2 linked regions of the Macaca fascicularis genome follow. The protein of the gene in region 1 interacts with the protein of each later gene in a pairwise test. Links are inferred from orthologs where the notes say so. Each region holds a gene or a part of one and is shown on either strand. Other genes may lie near its edges. The genes, in order: PRR3 and ASF1A.

The links.
Region 2: the proteins of PRR3 (region 1) and ASF1A interact in binary tests that used the Homo sapiens proteins (3 or more experiments, as listed by UniProt). The two-hybrid records come from large-scale screens. The link is inferred for Macaca fascicularis from reciprocal best matches to the Homo sapiens genes PRR3 and ASF1A.

What each region holds. Positions count from the first base shown.
Region 1 is NC_088378.1:142,092,788-142,097,072, reverse strand, and holds the end of PRR3 (proline-rich protein 3), read left to right. Parts: intron 1-1,335; coding exon of another isoform or gene 1,336-1,374; exon of another isoform or gene 1,375-1,776; intron 1,777-1,855; coding exon 1,856-2,146; intron 2,147-2,408; coding exon 2,409-2,515; 3' UTR 2,516-3,734; downstream 3,735-4,285.
Region 2 is NC_088378.1:22,822,484-22,827,090, reverse strand, and holds the start of ASF1A (histone chaperone ASF1A), read right to left. Parts: upstream 2,840-4,607; 5' UTR 2,643-2,839; coding exon 2,534-2,642; exon of another isoform or gene 1,892-2,533; intron 1-1,891. UniProt on the Homo sapiens protein: Histone chaperone that facilitates histone deposition and histone exchange and removal during nucleosome assembly and disassembly.

The sequences.
Region 1 (4,285 bases):
TACTACAACATGGATGAACTTTGAGGACTTTATGTTCAGTAAAGACATAGTGTATGATTCTGCTTATCTGAGGTGTCTAAAGTCAAATTCAGGGGCCAGGCGTGGTGCTTCACACCTGTAATCCCAGCACACTGAAGGCCAAGGCAGGTGGATCACTTGAGGTCAGGAGTTCGAGAACAGCCTGGCCAAAATGGCGAAACCCCATCTCTACTAAAAATAGAAAAACTAGCTGGGCATGGTGGTGCATACCTGTAATCCCAACTACTCAGGTAGCTCAGGCATGAGAATTGCTTGAACCTGGGAGGCAGAGGTTGCAGTGAGTCGAGATTGCACCACTGCACTCCAGCCTGAATGACAGAGTGAGATTGTCAAAACAAAAAATAAAAATAAAGTCAAATTCAAAGAAACAGTAGAATGGTCGTTACTAGATGCTGGGGGAAGGAAGACAGAAAGGGGGAGTTTTGTTTAATGGGTACAGAGTTTCAGTTTTGCAAGATAAGAAACTTTTGGAGATCGGGCATGGTGGCTTACGCCTGTAATCCCAGCACTTTGGGAGGCCAAGGCAGGTGGATCATGAGATCAGGAATTCGAGACCAGCCTGGCCAACATGATGAAACCCTATCTCTACTAAAAATACAAAAATTAGCCAGGTGTGGTGGTGGGCACCTGTAATCCCAGCTACTCAGGAGGCTGAGGCAGGAGAATCGCTTGAACCCAGAAGCCGGAGGTGGCAGTGAGCCGAGATCGCGCCACTGCACTCCAGCCCAGGCAACAGAGCGAAACTCCATCTCAAAAAACAAACGAACAAAAACTTGGAGATCTGTTTCACAACAATATGAATATACATAACACTACTGAACTGTACACTTAAAAATAGTTAAAATGGTAAATTTTATGTGTTTTTTGCCACAATAAAAAGCAAACAAAACGAGGCATGATGACTCATGCCTGTAATCCCAGCACTTTAGGAGACCAAGGTGGGAGGATCACTTGAGCCCAAGAGTTCAAGACCAGCCTGGGCATGTGGCAAGACCCAATCTCTCATTAAATAAATAATAACCAAACAAAATAACCACCACTTTTCACACTCACCAGAATGGCAAAATTTAAAAATCTAACAATTCTAAGTGTTGCCAAGGCTATAGGACAACTACTGGTGGGAGTGCAAATTGCTATAACCACTTTGAAAAAAAATTTGGCATTATATGTGAAACTTGAGCATAACATATACTTTATAACCCAGCAATACCTCTACTATGTATATACTCAACAGAAATGCATACGTATGTGTAACAACATGTATAAAAATGTTTATAGTGGCATTTCTCGTTATAGCCCCAAACTGGATACCACCCACATGTCCATCATCAGTAGAATGGATAAATAAGTTGTTGTGTATGCATGCAATGGGACTACACTGCAACGAAAATGAATGAACTACTGCTACAGGCAACCTGGATGAATCTCACAAACATGATGTTGAGCGAAAGGAGCCAGACATAAAAGAATGCAGACTGTATGATTCCATTTTTGTGAAGTTCAAAAACAGGCAAAAACTAACCTATGGTGTCAGGATAGTGGTTACCTTTGGGGAGGAGGGTGGGTAATGGGAAAAGGGGCACAAGGGGAGGATCTTTTGAGGTGCTAATAAGGCTTTATCTCTTCACCTGGTGGTGGAAACTCAAGTGTGTCTACTTTGTGATAATTGGGTTGTGCACTTAAAACTGGTGTGTCTTTAAAACCGCTGTTCTTCAATAAAAAAAATTTTTTAAATCAGGGCTTATCAGGATTCAGCTGCCCATTGGTCACCTTTCTGTGTCTTTCTTTCTCTCTCTGTCTCTCTCTCTCTCTCCAGCTCTTCACAGAGGTCCTCCAGGATCAAGGGGACCACTGATTCCACCACTGCTGAGTCTCCCACCTCCTCCTTGGGGTAGAGGCCCAATTCGGAGAGGCCTTGGCCCCAGGTCTAGCCCATATGGTCGTGGTTGGTGGGGAGTCAATGTTGAACCTCCTTTTCCGGGGCCAGGTCATGGGGGTCCCACCAGGGGAAGCTTTCACAAAGAACAGAGAAACCCTCGAAGGCTCAAAAGCTGGTCTCTTATCAAGAATACCTGCCCGCCCAAGGATGACCCCCAGGTTATGGAAGGTGAGGTCCATTTTGTTACGCCCATAACTCCCAGAGTGACCTAATTTTCAGAAGATCATTCATGATCTTCTTTGGGCTTTCCTTTTTGCTTTTGAAGCAGAAGTAGACCTGAATGTTATTTCTCCCAGGAGAAAAACTACCATTCCAAAATACCTGGAAATGGTAGGGGGTAGAAAATCAGTTCTCCTTCTGTCTCTGCTTTTCATCATATTTGTTTTCTTTGTTGCTCAAATTTTTAACTTTAATTTTCACTTGTTCACAGACAAATCCGACCGCCCTGTCTGCCGACATTTTGCCAAAAAGGGTCACTGTCGATATGAGGACCTCTGTGCCTTCTACCATCCAGGCGTCAATGGACCTCCTCTGTGAGACTGTGCCTTCCCATCCAGGCTGGAAGGAGCTCTCTGTGACCTAGCGGCCATGTATTTCTCTGTAGCCCTGTAATGGCTACTGTGAGGCTCTTCCAACACCCTCTGTCAGTGACACACCCACCCCATCCACCACCTCCCCAGTTTGGGGTCCAGAGTTGTGTTGCGTCACTGGTGCGCGGTGTATGCGCTTTCTTCTGATCCAGCCTTTAGAGACTTGCCTTTGGGACCCATCTTTGCTCCCTTAAGTTGCCTCCTGGATCTTCTTTCCCATCATCAAATGACTGCTGAACAGGAAACCTCTTTGGTGCTGTTTCTTGTGCATCTGTCCACCTGTTCCCCAGTACTGCCCTCAATTCCTGAGAGCCCTGGAGCGGTTTCCTACCATTCCCTTCTTTTAGCTGCTTGTTTTAAGTCCTTTTTATGTGACATTCCCTACCCCCAATGTTGTCAGCTGCTTATGAAACTCAGCCAGGTTGTCTAACCTGGGGTCAAGTTTGGGTGACTGGTGCAGAGTTACTTCCTAAAAGGCCACTCTCCCTGCTTTTGGATTTCGTAGTTTCTCTGTCAGTAGCATGATCCCCACCACCGTGGTCTATGATCACCGTGCTTTGTGAAACTGTGCATCCCCTTGTAGCCTCTCTCAGTGTCTGTGGCATTTTTGTGACTTCCCAGCACTAGAATAAGTTTTCCTGCCAAAACGAGTGAGGTGCTTGACGCCCTCTGGACTTTCCCACTTCCCAACATGGAAGAATTGTGAACTTTCCATCAGACTGCCTCCCTGGCCCTCCCCATTCTTCTCCTGTTGGTTACTCTGGGTCTGACACAGGCCCATGAGATGTCTTATAAAGCCTCCAATGGCTTTATCCTACCTAGATCCCTTCCAGCCCATTTTACTTAGACTATGTCATTGTGAGACCACCAGTCCTTTCATTTGAATTCTGTGAATCTCCACCTTGCCTATCTTTGGGTGGAACCTGGACAGTACTGTCGCCTTCTTCCAACCCTCTTCCCCTACATCCCTGGCACTGGTTGTTTTCTGTGAAAACAGCAGTGAACAGGTTCAGTTTTGAACTGGCCCTGAGGAAACAGGTCAGGAGTTGTATTGGCAAGAGGGAGGGATGAGAGTTGTTGGAGAACTGAGAATGAGGTGTTTTTTTTTTTTTTTTTTAACATTTTTTTATATTAGTAATAAATGCAGTGGAAACCAGCATTTTCTTTAATCCCTGTGTTCTAGTCATCTCTGGAGGTACAGATGAAGCTGTTCTCACCTGGTGGAGTCAGCTCATTCTTTAGTTCATACACACTAGTGATGGGGAATGACAAAGCTTAAGGTTCTTCCAGGCTGAAAAAACCAATGGAGGTTCCATTGGCCTGTAGGCATCAACCAGACCAAGCTGCCTTATGTTCAAGGGCAAAGTTTTGTAAGAAAAAGGAAAGGCCAGGTGTCTGTGGAGTTATTTTTAAATATTTTACTTGGCAGAGTTTGTGTTTATGGAGTGGTAATGATGAAGGAGTCTTTCAGCAGCAATTTGCAGAGTGCCTGTGGGCCAGGCAATATACTAAGCACTAGAGATAACTGACAGCCAAAGCCAATGGATTTAAAATGTACAAGGAAGACAGGTTTCTCATAACCACAAATAGCATGTAAAGTTAAACCTGCCAAAAGTGCTGGGAAGAAGACAGGGTGAAACGGAGTTGTGTAATAAAGGGAGTCGGGGAAGGAGATGCAACTGAGACAAGCTCCAAAGGATAAACAGGAGGTGGGGTG
Region 2 (4,607 bases), about 120 Mb from region 1:
CAGCTTGGGCAACATGGCAAAACTCCATCTCTACAAAAAATTAAAATATTAGCCCAGTGTGGTGGCACATTGACTATGGTCCCAGCTACTCAGGAGGCTGAGGTGGGAGGATTGCTTGAGCCCAGGAGGTTGAGGCTGCAGGTAGCTGTGTTTGCACCACTGCACTCCATCCAGCCTGAGTGCCAGAGCCAGACTGTCTCATTTAAAAAAAAAAAAAATTCTATAGTTTAAGAACAGAATTTTTAAAAGAACTATAATATAGAAGTATGGAACCTATAAGAAGCCTTTGCTAAGTAAACTCAATTTCCTTAATCCACATAGCCTCTAGGTGGAGTATACAGGCATGGCACCTTTTTGAAAGATTCCTTTGCAGCTTCAGTATGACTCAGCTTAAAATATTTTTTAAAATACTAAATAAATGCTCAGTAATGGTGCCTAGGAAGTGAAATATACCACTGGAAATAAGTATATTTTTGATACCAGTACTGTAAAACCCTGATGTGATTCAGCTGGGTTCTGAATGGATCCCAGTTAAAAATGGAACCTGTTTTGGCTTTATGAATGGCTGGTTTCATCTATGCAATGTAAAAGCCCTGTAACGACATCCTGAGTCATCTATCTTCTTTGTTCAGAGCTGACTCCTAAAATGGAAGGCATCACTTGAGAAATACCTGTAATTTGAAGAACTTCTGGTGGTATACTTGAAAAACACTGTGGTGTAAGTTGGAATGGACCGATCAATGGTTTTTCTTTTGTCTATTTTTATATGCAGTTGGCAATTAAAAAAAAAAAATTACTGACTGTTGGGTGTGAAAAATGGGCCTGGTAGCTGCAATGCTTATATTAATAGTAGTATCATACAGATGACTTCAGAGTAATAAGAAAAATACCCCTAAGTGTTATCAATGGCCTATTTGAAATTATTTTAATAAATGAATCATCTTTCAAAATTTGCCCTATATATGTATGTGCATTTATGCTCTATATAGGTTTACCAAAAAAAAAAAAACCCCCACAGAGGGGCACATGTTAAAGTAGTAATTGTGATTACCTAAAGGAGATAGGGGAAGGCATTGAGTACAGAGAACTGTTAACTTTATATATGCCTGTACAACTTTCTAAAAGTTTATTACAATGATATATATTGTTTTATAATTAAAATTAACCTTACATATGATACATACATTTTAGAGATTAAAAACTAGTTTTTAAAATGAAAAGTTTTACATGCCACGATTAGCCAAATCATCTTCAGAGCATTTTAAAAATACACTTCTAGTTCAAAGAAGTATGCCCCTCATCGATGAAGTTAAACTATTTCCCCTTCAAAACTGGCAAATGAAGCACTGAATTACTTTAGTAAAATATAATTAAAGCAAAGATAATTGTTGTTTTAGCTTTCTAAATATTACTAAACATATTAAGAATACGTATTTTTAAGACCTTAAAATATATGTAGAAAAAATACCAGGAATTCTTGGACTGACATGAGGAGTTTAGCTTAATTTCCTAGCCTACGTTTGTGTTTTATGTTTAGGGTGTGTTCTGCATCTGGATGTGGAGTTATTTTACATTTCAACACGCTCTTGAAGAAAGTCTTCTTTCAGACTATTTAGAAGGCAGAGATTAAGTCCTGGAAATTATTTAAGTATCTTATTTCTGCTCTTAGGTTAAATGTAACTTCCTAGCTCAGCTCTCTCTCTCTTCCTGAGATTAGCTTTTCGTCATTAGGAGAAAGGAGTCCACGTTGGTTGGGGAGCCTGCGCGCCAGCATCCCGGCGCATCCCGGGCACCGGCCGAAGAGGACCGGCCGAACAGGACCCGCGGCCCCCGGGGAGTGCCGGCGCCCAGCCCGCGGCGCGGAGGGGCCGAGCCTGCGCCCGCCTCCCCCGCTGGTTGGTCGAGGAAGCCAGAAATCAGCGCGAGGACAGCCTCGCTCTCCTCCCCGAAGCGGCCAGGCATGGCCAGCCCGGAGAGTGCGGCGACTCCACCGTGAGCTCTCGAGAGTTACTGCCTCCCTTTCGCCGCGGGCAGGCGGGCGAAGGGGCGAGAAGAGGCGCCGTGCGCCGGGGTCGCTGGCCCAATTCTCGACTGGGGTAAGATGGCTCCGCTCCGAACTCGCCGGCGCGACCACACGCACAGCCTCTCCCTTCCCAGCCTCCGTGCCCGGGCCCGGAGGGTCGCGGAAGCTGTTGGCGGCGCTAAGCCAGCCCGGCGCGACCCCAGGAGGCGCCGCGGGCGCGAGTGCGGGTCTCCGAGCTGCCCGCCCGCAGACAAAGCTGACAACATGGCTACCTCCGCTCCTCCGCTCAAACAAGTTCCTCGCAAGTTGAGCCCGGCAGGCGCCTGGGCTGCGGCGGAAAGCCGCGCGCGCCTCGGCGGCCGTCGACCATCAACTTGAAGTTTCCCTCCGCAGAGCAGCCCGCGGCCGCCAGGCGCCGAACACAGCCGCCCAGCGCGAGGCCGGGCCCGGGAAACTTTCAACGTCTGCAGCCCGCAACTGACAGCCCGGGCGCACGGGCGCCGCACTCACCTTCAGACAGGTCCTCGATGCACTCGAAGGTGATCTCGAACTGGAACGGGTTGTAGAAAGGAGAAGGGTTATCCAGCACCACTACATTGTTCACCTGAACCTTTGCCATATTTTGAAAAAAACACAAACAATGGGAACTGGGGCTGGTTGCGGCACAATAAAGTCCAGCGCGCGGCCGCTCGGGAGAGCGCAGACCCCCGCCCCAGCGCCGGCCCGACGTTGTGCAGCGGCGACTTGAGAAACTTTTTTTTTCCTCTTTTTATTTACACGGGAGCACTCCACAGTGTTTTGCAGCTTTCCTATTTCACTAAACTACAGCCCATTCTGCTCTGATAAGTAGCAGCGTTGCCCTCGATTGGCTGCACCCGAGCTCTGACCCTCCTCCTCCAGCGAGGGCCTCCGCAGCCAGCAAGATGGGCTCCCGCTCCCGGAATGGACTCGGAAACTTTAACTGCGGCTCCACCTGCTGGTGTGGATTAGGACAAAGGCGGAGAACAAAGTGAGTGGAATAAGGGCTGGGAGGCCCGCGCGGAGGCCGCCGGCGGCGGCGCGGAGAGGGGCGGCGGGGGCGTGGCCGCGGCGGGGAGGCGTGGCCGCGGCGGGAGGGCGCGATTCGGCCGACGCCCGCCCCTCCGGTTGGCTTCGTGTGGGTGTTTTGGCGTTTTTTGTTTTTTTGTGTTTTTTTGTGGTTTTTTTTTTTTTTTTAATTTTTTAACGCTCTTTTTACATCATTGCAACAGCTTTGCCGGCCTTGCTGAATTTAGCAGATGAGAATCGGTGTTTACACTGGGTTAGGTTCAGCTTTCTGTGTATCGGGTAGTAGTTGGAGTAGAGAAAAAGATTGCCTGCAGGGGAAATAAATTGCATGTTATAGACCGATGTCAGCTCGAAAGGAGCAAAGCCATTTTGGAAATCTAGCTCTTGGCCAGTATCTACGTTTAGGCACGACAGCGCCGTTAAGCAACACAAAATGAAGGGCGAGGAATGATTTTCCACACACTGTGCTTGGAAAATTTAAATAGGTAACCTTTGGGCTTACACCTGGGCGTCTTCTTCGGAGTCCAGATCTGGAAAGTCCTAGAATAAGAAAAAAATCACAAGAGGTGTGATCAGTTATACCCTAGGTTACTGCCATTGGGAGAGCATAGCAGGAACATAAAAGGAGAAAATGGAAGTGTCAGGAGACCAACAGGGCAACACACATAATAGAGATGGGAAAAAGAACACGAAGACATACCAAGACATTTGATCTTCAAAAAAATTTCTGACCTAAACCATTAGTAAAGCAAATTCTGAGGAGCCCTTGCTTGCCTGTAACCAGTTGAGATCTGAACTGAGGAAATGTTGATTCGTTTATGCTGTTTGACTACCATTGCGGGGAAAGAGAAAGCTTTAAACACATTTGTGAGCCTAAACCGTTTCTATTACTAGTAAGTGGTATAAAGATTTGTTTTTATTACTTGCTATCCATAAACCGTCACTTTTTTCCTTAAATGTTGTGAATGAAACCACCAAACTTGGCCAAATTCAGAGAGAAAATTAATTCTGAAGTATCTGTTCTGGAAGAGTTTTCTCTTAGGATAGTGCCCAGAATTTTGATTTGTCATTCTTTGGGCATTGTTCATACTTAAGTAGGTGGCTTCTGATGAAACGTTTTCATCTGATGGTCTTTTGAAAGTTAATGTGAGACAGCTAATGTCAGCCCCTCCTACATTTAGGAAGACCAGTTAGAGTGGGGAAGAGTTCCCTTTTTTTGTCATGGATTGAACAGTTAGATATAGGACCTACCAGGAAAGACTTCTTCAAGCCAGTTGTTTGTGACATTAGAGTATTAAGAGTCAAACCATGGTGATAGACACAGATTTTTGTGACTGATAAACCATATACTCTTCATTGTTATTGGTGCTGGTTCTAACACTAGCTAAGATAAAGTGGAAATTGCTATATGCTGTAAGACACTCTGTATGTGTAAGGTAAAATGACCATTTGAAGATTAAAACTCCTGTGAGACTGGTGTATGCAGCTGTGTGATTCTTACAGGTACTCTTAAGAGGAGAGTCTAGTCATTCTCATA